4 linked regions of the Saccharomyces cerevisiae S288C genome follow. Changing the gene in region 4 together with the main gene of any one other region gives a genetic interaction. Each region holds a gene or a part of one and is shown on either strand. Other genes may lie near its edges.

Region 1 (3,838 bases), on a different chromosome or scaffold from region 4:
TGTTTTTGGTTTAATACATCCACGTTATTTTGTATTTTTTTTGTTTATTATTGCAAGTTTTTAGTTCATTTGTTCTTTCCGATGAAAAAGCAAACTCAAAGGGCAGTTAAGTTACGTTATACCGTAAGGAATATAAAAGGCTAACTAAATAACGAACGAAACAGGTCGACCAAAGATGCTACATTGCACCCAGGTGTGTCTGAGCGCTCTGACAAAGAGAACCCACAGGGTCAAGGTTCAAGTCCTGAAGGATTTCCCGCGATTTCAATTATATAAAGGACAAGTTGCAAATGTCAAACCATCTTTAATGAGAAACTATTTACATAACTTCAATGGTGCAAAATACATACTCAGCGAAGAACACGACATAAATACGGAACTGTTAAAACAATACCAAACACTTGAGGCAAAGCTAGAGGAAGACCATCAACAGCTCTCTAAACGCCATGAAACGGAAGTTCAAAAGAACATGGAGTTACGTAAAGAATCTGTTTTTGGCCACAAGAAAGAAGAGAAGCCAAAAGAGGAAAAGAAGGGATTATTGGATTCTGGGATTACTATCGAAGAGGTTAAGATCCCCGGTCTTGACATTTGATTGGTAAAGAGTATGTATTCAGATAGCGTACAATCTTGTATATAGGCAACATCGCAATTCAAAACACCACATACCAATTTACATACTTACTATTTAAATGTATGGATACATGGAAAACGTTCGTATACAAAAACTGAAGAGGTTCAGAAAATTATAAGGAGGAAAGAAGAACAAAGTGGTTCTTACTGAAATCTTGTTCTTTGCTTGTTTTTGAGACGTCTTTCTCTTTTCTCTTTCATTTTTTGATCTACCTTTTCTTGTTGACCAGAGGCCTTCAATTGACGTCTTTTGGCTTTTTCCAATTCTAATTTCTTCTCCTTTGCCAATTCCAATTCAGTTTCTTTCATAAACTTTTTGATCTTGTTCAGTTCTTGCTGACGCAAGTTGGTAGTTCTTTTCAAGATGTCGTTGGTAATGAATAAGTTTGGAGACTGTTGGACTAAATCTTGAGTGAACCCATCGTAGATTTCTACGACTAAGGAAATAATTTGGTTTAACAACTTCAATTCATTCTCATTTTGGGGAACAGCGCAACGAATGATAGCCTTTGGTTCAATTGAAGATTCCCATTCTTTATCATCGCGTGGCGGGTTGACAGGCAAATCGGTGAAACTTATATATTTCAAAAGATTACCAGCTTGGGACAAAACCTCATAGGGCTTGGAGTAATGAAACATGAACCCTGATAATTGATTAACATCGGACATGTAGACGAAGTTATTTGGTAGTTTATCGTTTTCACTAGTGTGTGCAATAGACAGGAAATAGTTTTCAGTTCTAGCTTGATTCATGAATTCTTTGTTAACAATAGAAGTGACAAATCTAAATTTGGTCAAAATTTCATGCGCATTCTTGTTAGGATGAGCAGATTCACTAGTAACTAAAATACCATTTGGCCTGATCACGATCTCCATAAATTCTTCCAATTGCTTACTTTTCAAACTTGCAAAAAAAAATCCAAGCAGGTACTCTAGACACATAGAGAAAGGGTTGCTACGGGCTACCAGATGAAGGTTTAGGTTGATGCTCTTGATGGCGGATCTACCGGTAGCAAAAGAAGAGAACCATGTATTTTGGTGTTCCACTGTAAAGATTTTGGAATCATTGATATTGAACCCTACACGGGAGAACTTTAAGTCGTTGGCCAAAAATGAATGCAAAGATTGGAAAATCTGATTTCCGCGCTTCAAATTAACGGAGTTACCAAATTTGTAGAAAGCATAAACCAAGAACAACACACCTAGAGCACACAATTCAAAAGTCCAGTTGTAGAATTTGACTCTTTGCCAAATAGTCATGGCCTTTTGTTCGTCATATGATAATGCTTGGTAGGGCGCATTGAGTGAATTGACACGCTCCAAAAAACCCGTAAGTGGGCCAAATATTGAACTAGACATGTTAATGAAATGGAAAAGGGTTCTGCTAATCTAATTTTTATGCCTACAACAATATCGTACCTATTTGAGCAATAATACCTATAATATCAAACTTTTTTTTTTCAAGTAGTTCTCACTTTTTCACTTTTTGGCGCGTTTTCGCCAATTATCATTTATGACGATGCGAACAAATAAGAAAAATAAGAGTTCTAATATCAAAATGATCAGAAGAGTAAGGCATAATTTGTACAACCAAAACCAAGGAAAGCTGATAGTACCGAATTTTTTTTTTTTTTGGCACGATATGAATAGCAGTGGGGATAATGCTGGGTTTGAGTGGTGGAGACGGACCATGCAGTACAAGACTGGTATAGGCTTGACACCGGAGGAGAAAACTCGATACGAAGACGACTCTAAAGCTCGAGAACTAAAAAAGGAATGTCTGAAATGTTATGAGTATCGAGATTGGATGCTTAAATACTCTCCCACAGTTCGCTTTATGGTACAAGCTATTACGAAACTTAATAAGGGTAGCGACAGTAAATTCGACGATTCGAAGATCATCTGCGATTACTGTCCCGACTGGAAGGGCGGTGGCTTTCATCCTGAATTGGGAATCCTATTGTGCCAGAACAGGTTACGTGATAAGTGGCATTTAGAGGATACGCTTTCGCATGAATTAATTCATTATTTCGATGATCTAAAATGGCAAATAGATTGGTTAAATCTGAAGCATCATGCATGTTCTGAAATCAGAGCCTCTTCGTTAAGTGGGGAATGCAGGTTTTGGGAAGAGTTCAAGAGAAGAGGGTTTAGGACAGGATTCCATGTGGCAAGGGGACACCAAGATTGTGTTAGAAGGAGGGCAATAATTAGTGTTTCGGGGAACCCCAACTGCCAAAGCAAAGAACATGCAGCAAAAATTGTAGATGAAGTTTGGGACAGTTGCTTCGCCGATACGAGACCGTTTGATGAGATTTACAGATGAACCAATGTAATAAATGACAATATTCTATAATAGAAAATATATAGACGCTTGTAAATAATAAAAAAAAAAAAAAAAAAAAAAAAAAGTAAAAAAAAATTTACTATAAAGATTTAATAGCTCCACAGAACAGTTGCAGGATGCCTTAGAATGTCAAGTACAACGTACACATGACACTTGGTCCCATGCAGATACCGAGCCAGAAAATAACATTTCCGATTATGGTTCTGTTCCTCATGAATTTAGTATTTGTTAAAGCTACTAATGGCATTTGCAGCATTTGGAAGAAGAACAAGTAAAACCTCAATTTCTTGAAGATAACGTACATTGCTAATTCATGAACGACGGAACTTAAGAAAAAGGTCATCAAAGTTGCTTGACTCTTGTTCAATTTGAATGAACTCATTGAACTATGGTAAACATGTCTTAACAAAAACTTATGCACTGGGATGTTCCAAATTCTACTGAAGTCTGCCCAACTAACACAATTCCACCAGTCACCGTAGAAATATCTGTCGCCAAATCTTGTCAATTCAGCCACACAGTTCAAAATGGCATCCCAAATCAAATAGAAGTCCAAGATGTACATCACGATAAACCCTGGGACGATATCAACGAGCAATCCAACCCATTTCAATAATCTATCCAATATACCAGTCCATTCAGAATTGCGCACAGCCAATGCTCTCATTGCTACAGGATACATCAAGATTTGAGCATCTATCATCATTAAGAAAATGGTACCGAAGATGGCGCAGATCTTTTCTAATACGTAGCTCCATCTGATTTCCTTAGTTCTTGGATATTCAATTTGGTAAATTAGGGTTGGAAACATGGTGAACCAAAAAAAGCTTTTTGCACTGATATTGTTGGGGAATTTTT
Region 2 (3,666 bases), on a different chromosome or scaffold from region 4:
AACCGTAATTCACATTCAAACATAGAACCATCAAAATTTTCTCGTATTTCGTTTAAGTCCAAAAGAGGTTTATTGGATTTGAGCTGATTCAAATCAATCTCGATTAGCTTCAAAGAAGAGTAATTGCCGTTCGCTATTCCCTGAGATAAATATGTTGTAGTCTCTAGCAAGTTCAGTTGTAGTTTAAGTGGGGTAATTTGCATTTTGCTCAAACTTGCTATATTCCCCTCCATGACTACATAGACCTTGTCAAAATTTTGGCTGCCAGACCTAAACAAGTAGTCTTTCCTGTATATTTGCTTCAAATCTCGACTTCTAACCTCTATTCTCATATTGCTTTCCCCATCAGGCAACCCCATTTTATAAGTAGATGGGAAAACTTTCATACCATTTACTAGGCGAGTAGATTGTCTTGTTGATGTGACTGATGATACCGGTCTCGATCTAATGTCGCCGTTTTCTATCAATATAGAATTAGCTTGAGAAAAGTTCCTGTCACTTTTTATATATCCGACTCCATTAACGACTTTGACGTCCTTTGATGGCACCTTTAAATTTGAACTATTGAAAAATTCATTGTTGGTGACCATACTATTTCCTCTACTATTGTTACTGAAGGCATTAAGTTCTTCATTGTCATCTTCATCAGGTTCTATAATAAGATCTTTTGGCTCAGGTATAAATTCGAACGTCTCGATTTCCCTTATCAGTTTATGGAATGGCTTAAACCAAGATGAAGATTTCCCTAGCTCTAATTGAACTTGCACCATATATATAACTTTTCCAAAAGAGTAAAAATACAAATCCAGATTATCGATTTTATTAAATTCTTGCCAATGACTATTGAACGTAGGTGGGAGTCGGGCATTACTTCTTGTCACAAACGCTACTGTCTTTGCCGTATGATTTTTCAGACATTCAGGCTTTCTGGGAAACTTGTCAAATTGAAAGCTATAATTATATGAACCTGGTTTAACTTTGAACGGCTTGGAGGAGCCATCAAGAGCATTCCATACATTATCTGGAGGGAAAACTCTCTGTTCGAATTTCATTAATGTATGAAAGGATTTGTTGTCTTGGCCCGGCATCATCATGCCATTCTGTTGAAACATGTACTCTTGATCAATTTTTGTTAAGGTCTCTGAGAATCCTTTTAGAATGACGGAAATTTTCCTTATAGATAGCGCTTTTGTTAACTGAAGACTAACTATCCCTGACATTTGATCATTAGAGCTATAAAACTCCCCGTTGTACGGTGGGTTTAAGGATATTGAAATTTTTGGAGCCATGGTTTGACAAACTGTATGGTTCTCAACCTTCTCTAATCAAAAGCAGAATCTTAAATATAAACACTCACAGAATATCCGTTGGTCAATGAAGTAATTCTCCTTTGTACTGGCTGCTTTTTCTCCTCTAGTTTATGTAATTCTACTTTTGGATGGGTGCGACTGCTTTTAATTGATTGAGTGGCGGTGTTAGAAGGGCTGTAGAGTCGAAGGCTTGTTTCTCTCTTACGCACCTCTTGTGAAAAGGGCGTGCACCTTCCCCAGGACCCTCTCTCACCCTCAACCCGCATTTTGCTGAGAATTTTCACCAAGGCCCTAGGTGATATTAGATTCCACCTGACTAATTGCATTACAGCCGACCCAAGGCAATATCAGTTTAATAAAATATCATGTATCTCACCCTCTTCTTGGTATTAGTAAAGAGACGCCTGATCTTGTAACAGTGGTGAAGATTGTACTAGAGCAGAATCAAGAATTTAAAAAGTGTAAAGGCAAGGCAGAGGCGATGTACATAAAACTTCGAAGTAAGAAATATTTAATAGTTCTCGCCACATCACTATGCAGCTATATAAAAACTACTATAAACGTTTGTTTTGTTCCTTACGCACAATATCCTTGCCTAGAAATCGTTTTTGAAATTTAAATTTTTATTACCATTTATTTGATTCGCCTTCAGAAAAATATGGAAGAGTGCATATTTAAAAAGGACTATTTCAGCATATAGTAAAAGTCAGGTTATTTGTTTATTTGCGATATCAGAGTAACTTAAACTAACTATGCAGGGCACTTTTAAAAGGTTTTACCATCCCACGCTTACGCGGATGTCCTTCTTGGATAAATTCCTCAAGCCTATGATGGCAACGGCTTCCCCAAAGGAATACCAGATCAAACAACTGGTCAAGCCAATAGGCTTAACACAAGCACCAAGGAAAAGCACCAAATACTCCCAGGGGAACTCTTTGAGGGATATGTTTGATTCGGAAAAGACAAACCACAGAGTTAAAGAGTTGGCCGTTGAATTCAGCAAATCTGGACTTTATGACGTGCAAGTCTTCCAAAAGACAAAGGGGAAATTGTTTATAGCTCCAGTTTCATATTGGAAAGAAGATAAAGCTTTGTTTTTTCCTCATTTGATAGGAACGGCAATGGATGGTACGAAACAACAGAATATCGAGGATATGTTAAGGGGTAAAACCAGTATAGTGAGGTTATTTAGTACAGCATCTGGCGATAAGTTGAGTAGTTCATACTTCCAAGGAATCGTAGACGATAACAAAAAAACTGACTACTTGACTGAAGCTGATGCGCGTTTAAGTTTAAATGACAGTAACGTCCAAATCATCGAGGTCAATCTTGTAGAAAACGCTGTGAAAAGTGCTCTAGTGAAAACGCTTGCTCGTTGGGCCAATCGCGTTCCATCCTGGCGCCAGCCATTTTATTTCGAATGTTCTAGAGGCCAATGGCCATTTTCCGTCAGGGAAGAGCTCTTTTGCAATAATGTCTTTTCTGGATACGTCTTTCTTGTGGACCAGCAGTTAAAAATTAGGTGGGCAGCTTGCGGGGAGGCTACTCCATCTGAAAAGGAAGCATTGTGGAAGTTTGCCAAACGTCTGTGAAGTTGACGCTTTGTGCGGCGGCCAACAAGGGATGGGCGGCTATTTGGCGATCGTGTTCATTCCCCAAACTAACACGAAGAGCATGAGAGAGAAAAAACAAAAGTGCTTGAAACAGGTAAGACGTTTATCATTGATATCACCAAAGAAATATATAATGCCGGATTCTATTTTTGAACAGCCCTTTGTTTACTGTGGTGTTTGCCACAGAAGAACATCGCATGGAGATCCATTGAGGCTGACCTCATGTGCTCATATCCTCTGTTCGCAGCATTCTCCATTAACATCAAAGGTGTGTCCTATATGCCGTTCGAGCGATATCTCCATCATTAACCTTGTGGAATCTAAACAGCTGCCTACCGACATTAGGATTTTTTTTGAGCCACTGCCCCCACTTTTGGAGTCGTTATATAATGTTTCCCAATTCCAACTGAATGGGCTTTCGAAACAGTGTCAATACTATCAAAATCATTGTTTAAAGTTGAGAGAAAAATGTGCAAGACAACAGCAGCTGCTATATCAGGCCAAAATAGAGTTGGATTCTATGGCGATTCTTAAGAAAAGAATACAGGAATTAGAGTCAGTTTTGAATCATAACAATGTTTCTTCGATGTCAGTTGGTGTGCTACCAACAAGAAATAGCCATCAAAATCATTACCAGCCCCCTCCAACCGTTGATCTGACAGTTGATGATAATAGTTTAGAAGAATTCGAAGCCAAATCCTTTATTAAAAAGTTGAAAAAAAACTCTTCTTTGAGAAATTCTT
Region 3 (3,463 bases), on a different chromosome or scaffold from region 4:
GTATGCAATTCTTCATTCTTTGAGCAATAACCAGTCATTGTTGGAGCCCGGCTCCGACTTGGACAATTTTTTAAAATCTCAAAGTGATACTTCAAGCTCGAAGAATAGGTTTGATGATGTTACTACCGACCAATTCGTCTTGAATGTAATAAAAGAGAATGTACAAACATTTTCTACTGGCCAGTCAGAAGCACCAGAAGCAACTGCAGATACTAATCTACACTATATCACATATGTGGAAGAGAACGGAGGGATATTTGAACTGGATGGAAGGAATTTGAGCGGACCCCTCTATTTGGGAAAGAGTGACCCAACTGCCACCGATTTGATTGAACAGGAATTAGTTAGAGTGAGAGTCGCCTCATATATGGAAAATGCAAATGAAGAAGATGTATTAAACTTTGCTATGCTAGGATTGGGCCCTAATTGGGAATAATAATTGTTTTATTACTGCGTAGTCAAATATGTATTTACAGAATTCTTTTAAATATATAATTCACCTACTCATCATAGCCACCGCCAAAAGAAAGGAAACCTCCAGTTTGTCTGGAATGTCTCGAAAAATAATCGAAATCGATGGACACAGCGTTTGCTAATAACACGGCCCTTTGATCCAAAGTTAGTACTTGAGAACTTAGCATCTCAGTAGGATAAATATTATCAAAGCATCTCTGCGAATCAAATCTAACAACATAAACACCAGTATCGGTAAACATTTCTCTTCCTAAACCAACCCAATTTCTGTCTACACTCGCCATTATCTTACCATCAGCATCTGTTACAGGAAAATCAAATGATAAGAAAGGTGCATCTATCTTACCAAATTGGTCAAAAGTGGATCCTTCTACTCCATCTTTCTGGAATAATTCGTAACGACGCCTCCAGAGATGCCAGTTCTGAATGGTCTCTCCTACTGTCGTTCCTTCTTTACCGTCGTGATAGTGAGTGGAGTCACTGCCATTATCAACATACGCGGAAGGAGGTATGATAGTCTTTATATGAGAATTGATGAACGAAAAGGGCCTTTTAATCGTCATTATTACATTTCCCCAATTATCAAAGACATCTACCAAAAAAGGACGATGTAGACGATAAAACTGCCGCATTATGGCCTTTGTTATAGAAAAATCTCTTTCCATCATTGATGCTATTTTGTTTCCGTTCACATCCATTATGGCATACCTATTAGCCTGCTCGAAACCTAGAAAAACGTTCATAAATTCTATTTGCCTTTCGATAATAACTGTCGGTTCATTAAGTATCGTAGTAGCTATAGGATCATGTACTTTTATTATCCCGCTATTGCTATTTTCTTTAAATGCTTTTACTGATGGCGCCTTCGTTATTTGGTTCTTTTCACGAATTACTCTCCTAAATGGACCGTTTCTGATTACTTTACCAGAAGAAACCGTTAATGTTTTACTCAGTGTACTGAAATTTCTCATACATGATCGGTAAGTTAGAAATATTGCCGTTCTATGCATGTCGGTGTTATCCTTTATGTTTGACCTTTAATCTTCTTTTGTTTTGTCTTTTTTCATTTCGTACTTTTCAAATCCTTATTGCCGGTAGGCTTACAAACTTGAATGAAGTATATAACGAAGTCAATGAAACCTCTCCCATACTAGGTTCGGAACCTGTTAAGGGGAACAAGACCGCGCACTTGTTATGAAAATTCTTCCTATAACTATATTGAAAGCTATTTTTCCACATCGGCAGACAAACGACTGTCCAGACTTAGTAAAGCTCTTGGTCGATTTTGTACATTGCCTTTCCTTTACAGCTCCAAGATATTATATATATTTTTGACAAGGTAATCAATTGCCCCACAAATCTTCCATATAAAAACCTATATATGCTATTAACCGAATGGCAATTCCCTCTATCTCATATCTCACCTCTACAGTAATCCTTCCGTGGTATCTGGTCTATAGAAATGGGTACTGTTTCATTTAAACGTGTTATCACTTGATCCAATGGTTACCATCTGACTTTGGCATCAATCCCTTCTTAAAAAGTAACCAATCAATGATATGCGATTGTTTATGAAGTCCATTCAACAAACAATGGGAGTTTGGCCGAGTGGTTTAAGGCGTCAGATTTAGGTGGATTTAACCTCTAAAATCTCTGATATCTTCGGATGCAAGGGTTCGAATCCCTTAGCTCTCATTATTTTTTGTATTTTTTTTTTTCACTTCCCATCTTTCCAAGAATCTTAGGAGAGGTGCCGCAGTACTTTTTTGGACTGAGCAAGAAGTATCGCAAAGCATGGAAAAGTAAGAAGGGTATAGCAAAAGTCTTTTCACAATAAGAGGATATTTTGCAGGCAAATTTCTGAAGACCACATAATATCGTCTTCTTGGCGCAACTAAGACGCAGAGAAATGCTTGTTTTCAAAAGGGGTATTCACGTAGTACCTAAACTACCAAATTCTAAGGCCCTACTGCAAAATGGAGTGCCTAATATACTCAGTTCTTCGGGATTCAAGACGGTGTGGTTCGACTACCAGCGATATCTATGTGATAAGCTAACGCTGGCGACAGCGGGACAGTCTTTGGAATCATATTATCCATTTCACATATTGCTGAAAACTGCAGGAAATCCATTACAGTCAAACATCTTCAATTTGGCGTCCTCTATCCATAATAACCATTTATTCGTGGAGAACATTCTACCTTCTGCTGTTGAACATGGCACTAACTCGAACGCCGTTGTGAAGACAGAGCCTTCTAGGCTTTTTTTATCCAAAATCAAAGATTCATTCAACGGCAGCGATTGGGAAGTAGTGAAGGAGGAAATGATTTACCGTGCTGAGAATGAAGTCTTGGGACAAGGCTGGTTATTTCTAGTTGAAAACAATGAGAAAAAACTCTTCATATTAACGAGCAATAATAATGGTACGCCGTATTATTTTCCCAGGAACCAGTCATTTGATTTAAACAGTGCGATATCCATCGATGAATTTGCTACCTTGAAACAAATGAAAGAACTGATAGGAAAGTCTACTAAGTTGAATGGTAAGGTTCAAGACTGGACCATGCCTATAATCTGTGTCAATCTGTGGGATCATGCTTATTTACATGATTATGGCGTTGGTAACCGGTCCAAATACGTGAAGAATGTTCTAGATAACTTGAATTGGTCAGTGGTAAATAATAGGATATTCTCTGGTATATCGAAGTAATGAAAAGAAAGGAAGCGATAGCCTCTTACCCTCATATGTAATTATAAAGGTATCGGGTAGAAGGGGATCTACCAAAATCTTATATACTGTAAATAGTTTTATTTTATCCTCTCGCTCGTGTTTTAAACAACCTTAATGGCAATTACTTTATCATTTTCATCTTTCAGCATTGTGGCCCTATTTCTATCGCATAGGGGCTTCAAACAATAATAGAGCAAGCTTTCGGGCATTCTATGGAACTCCCAATTGACTGTTTCATCACCTTCACTCAATTCGTAT
Region 4 (3,642 bases):
TTGAGAGGCTTCATATTCATTGGAATTTTAAATAACAATAAAGCAACAACAATAATAAATGCTATCAGCTGCAGATAATTTAGTGCGCATCATAAATGCTGTTTTTCTTATTATATCCATAGGTCTAATCAGCGGCCTGATAGGTACACAGACAAAGCATAGTTCTCGAGTGAACTTTTGTATGTTTGCCGCCGTTTATGGTCTGGTTACGGATTCATTATATGGGTTTTTGGCTAATTTCTGGACATCATTAACATACCCAGCAATTTTGCTTGTTTTGGATTTTTTAAATTTCATATTTACGTTTGTAGCAGCCACCGCTTTGGCTGTAGGTATAAGATGCCATTCGTGTAAAAACAAAACATATCTGGAACAGAATAAGATCATACAAGGCTCAAGCTCCAGATGTCATCAATCTCAGGCTGCTGTTGCGTTTTTTTACTTTTCCTGTTTTCTATTCCTCATCAAAGTGACTGTGGCCACGATGGGTATGATGCAAAATGGTGGATTTGGCTCTAATACCGGATTCAGCAGAAGGAGGGCAAGAAGACAAATGGGCATACCTACAATTTCCCAGGTTTAAGCCTACTGGACTGAAAAAAAGGCAATTCGCGTACAATTTTCGTTGATCGTTCTTTATATAACCTTTGCATTAAATAAATTTAACAAAAAAAGTTCTTTCTAAAATAATATTATGGTGATACATGAATGTGCTTTAGTTTTTTCGTAGGCTCATCCATGTATATATATAAATGATAAAAAACTAAGTTACGATATTGATAGCATACGTATTCGTGTTGGTAACTAAATGGAAAGATGGAATATGTTATTGGCGTTGTTATCCCCCATATATACAGGTTTCTAATATGATTAAAAAAAAATTTTCTCCCCTAGTTTATTGTGTTCATAGCTTTTCCAGACTTAACGGCCAATGTTCAAAAGCAAGGAATTTGGTGATCCCGAAGACTCGCTGTTACCACCACCAGAATGTTGACTTGGTAAATAGACAACGTTAGATGAGTTTGCTAATGTTTGAGCGATGTCCTTAGAAGCTTCTAATCTTCTAATCAATAACAGACCATCACCAACTTTAGCTAAGGCTTTTGAAATGAATTCAGCACTTTCTGCTTCACCTTCAGCTCTGATAACAGAAGCTTGTCTCTCTTGCTCTGCCTTTTCGACAAGGAATTTGGCTCTTTCGGCATCTTGCTGTGCAATCTGCTTCTGCTCAACTGCTTTCGTGAATTCGGGACCAAACGTCATATGAGTGATAGAGACATCTTCCAACTTAATACCGAATTCGTTGGCCCTCGTAGAAAGCTCTTTTCTGATTTTTTGAGAAATAATTTCTCTCTGAGTAATTAACTCAGCAGCATCAAATTGAGCTACTATAGACTTTAAAACCTCATTGCCGATAGATGGTAACACTCTTTCGTCGTAATCGAGACCCAAATTTTGGTATATTGCGGGTAGCTGTAAGACCTCTGGTCTATGTAAGACTCTCAAGGTCAATGACACCATTTGCAAATCCTTCGTACCAGTATTGGTAGCAATGCTCTTTGGTTTCGTCCTCACATCGTATATGATCGCCTTCTGTAGCCAAGGCACCAAGAAATGAGTGCCTTCACCCACAACCTGTTGCTTTACACCATTGATTCTGTCGAAAATAACACCACGAGAACCACCCTTCACATCATACATGGAGTACTGAATCCCGCTAGCAATTATACCAATGGGCAACGCCACCTTGGTGATGACATCGATAAGTTTGGCAGAATTAGACATTCTTTTCTAAAGTAAATTATTGATTTTGAATGTAAGTTTCGTACCGTTGATGGTTGGTTTACCGATTTATTTTTTTTCCTCTTCTTTCTGCTTAATATTATATACCTCAACCGTTGCATCCATGAGATCGTCAAACTCCCTTTCCCTGAAATTTATTGATGCGATACATTCGCGTTACCCGTATCATCATGAAGACGAGTTTATTCTCATCAGTGTTGATCTCTCATACTTGAATAACTCATTTGCAATGGTCTAAGACTCCAACTATGTAGTCATAGTCATTCACTGAAGTTTCTCTTTTCGAAATCCTGAACGGAAGCGGAATATATGTGGTATATATCGCATATTACTGCTTCACAGCATGCAGCGCAGACTGGCCGGGTTATGCTGCCACTTACTGGAGACAACATAAAATATACATAATCATCGCCTTTATACATAATATGCCAAACTTCTGGATTCTTGAGAATCGTAGGAGCTATACGTCTGATACATGTATGTCGAGGATCGTGAAGGAGTACAAAGTCATACTGAAAACATTGGCCAGTGATGACCCCATAGCGAACCCCTACCGGGGGATAATCGAGTCACTTAACCCGATTGACGAAACCGACTTGAGCAAGTGGGAAGCTATAATTTCTGGGCCGTCAGACACACCTTATGAAAATCATCAGTTTCGAATACTAATAGAAGTCCCTAGTTCCTACCCCATGAATCCACCAAAGATAAGTTTTATGCAGAACAATATTTTGCACTGCAATGTTAAATCAGCCACAGGAGAAATATGTCTGAACATCCTTAAACCAGAGGAGTGGACTCCTGTATGGGATTTGTTACACTGTGTTCATGCTGTTTGGAGACTCCTAAGGGAACCCGTTTGTGATTCTCCACTTGACGTAGACATTGGTAATATCATCCGCTGTGGCGATATGAGTGCCTATCAGGGGATTGTAAAGTACTTCCTAGCAGAAAGAGAGCGGATCAACAACCATTGATACCACGTAGGATGGATGTGTTCGAATGGCAAACAATGGGCCCTCACTTTTATCTGATGCAATTTCTACCTTACCCGGGCAGCGCCAATTTATGAATACAAATACTTTAACAAATTGCACTATTGATGTATTGACACATTTGTATATACATATACATATATTAATAAGGAGCACGAATTTTTGACAAGTAGTGCACGCAATATCTACATTAGTTAGCTTTTCCATTGACGCTGAATTTTATTTTGGCAGCCCAGTAGATCGTTGAGGAGCTTTTTTCAAACACTTTTTCTCTCTTAACTCCACATACTTACGTAAGAAAGTGATGACGAAAAAGAAAGCAGCTACTAATTATGCTGAAAGGCAAAATTTAGCCAGTGAAGATTCTTCAGGTGATTCGGTTCATTTTAAGGACTTTATTCCCTTACAAGAGTTACTGAAAGATAAAAATTATGTTCCATCGGTGGAAAATTTGGAGAAGATCTTATATAATGAAACCATGTTTAATGATCAGAAAATATGCTCTAACCTATTGCTTGAGGCTCTCATAATTACGTTGTTCACAACAATTTCAGGGAAGTCAGCTTTACGATTAATTCAGACTTCTTCTTTGAAGGAAAGAAAATCCTGGGCCCAGTCCTTTGAAAATAACAGTTCTAGCTATGCTTCCATAGTACTGAGTTGGAAAGATAATGATATATTACTCCTGAAATTCTTAAGGTTTTTATTAGCAAATAAAACGGCCCCTCTTCAAATTAATCGGTACAATCTTCCAGAATACAAACTCCCGTTGAGCTTTTTAATTGTTTCAAAAATTACTATTCCGTCCATATTACTCAATGAAACGTATAATTTGTTAAAGGAC

The links.
Region 1: mutations in PHB1 (region 4) and ATP23 together harm fitness more than expected from each alone (negative genetic interaction), as found in Saccharomyces cerevisiae (4 studies listed by BioGRID, with this or other methods).
Region 2: mutations in PHB1 (region 4) and ATP10 together harm fitness more than expected from each alone (negative genetic interaction), as found in Saccharomyces cerevisiae (4 studies listed by BioGRID, with this or other methods).
Region 3: mutations in PHB1 (region 4) and AIM25 together harm fitness less than expected from each alone (positive genetic interaction), as found in Saccharomyces cerevisiae (3 studies listed by BioGRID, with this or other methods).

The regions. Positions count from the first base shown.
Region 1 is NC_001146.8:666,531-670,368, reverse strand, and holds ATP23 (putative metalloprotease), read left to right. Parts: upstream 1-2,146; coding exon 2,147-2,959; downstream 2,960-3,838. Other genes in the region: mitochondrial 54S ribosomal protein bL9m MRPL50, read left to right, coding at 176-595; YNR021W (uncharacterized protein), read right to left, coding at 778-1,992; ARE2 (sterol acyltransferase), read right to left, coding at 3,102-3,838. UniProt on the Saccharomyces cerevisiae protein: Has a dual role in the assembly of mitochondrial ATPase. Acts as a protease that removes the N-terminal 10 residues of mitochondrial ATPase CF(0) subunit 6 (ATP6) at the intermembrane space side.
Region 2 is NC_001144.5:905,017-908,682, forward strand, and holds ATP10 (Atp10p), read left to right. Parts: upstream 1-2,062; coding exon 2,063-2,902; downstream 2,903-3,666. Other genes in the region: ART10 (Art10p), read right to left, coding at 1-1,289; SUMO ligase CST9, read left to right, coding at 2,934-3,666. UniProt on the Saccharomyces cerevisiae protein: Essential for the assembly of the mitochondrial F1-F0 complex.
Region 3 is NC_001142.9:615,851-619,313, forward strand, and holds AIM25 (Aim25p), read right to left. Parts: upstream 1,485-3,463; coding exon 501-1,484; downstream 1-500. Other genes in the region: ubiquitin-specific protease YUH1, read left to right, coding at 1-436; mitochondrial 37S ribosomal protein mS42 RSM26, read left to right, coding at 2,384-3,184; ESCRT-II subunit protein VPS25, read right to left, coding at 3,307-3,463.
Region 4 is NC_001139.9:754,668-758,309, forward strand, and holds PHB1 (prohibitin subunit PHB1), read right to left. Parts: upstream 1,786-3,642; coding exon 922-1,785; downstream 1-921. Other genes in the region: FHN1 (Fhn1p), read left to right, coding at 59-583; PEX4 (E2 ubiquitin-protein ligase peroxin 4), read left to right, coding at 2,229-2,780; CCR4-NOT core subunit CAF130, read left to right, coding at 3,103-3,642. UniProt on the Saccharomyces cerevisiae protein: Prohibitin probably acts as a holdase/unfoldase for the stabilization of newly synthesized mitochondrial proteins. Involved in mitophagy; may act as an adapter for ATG8 that supports mitophagosome assembly.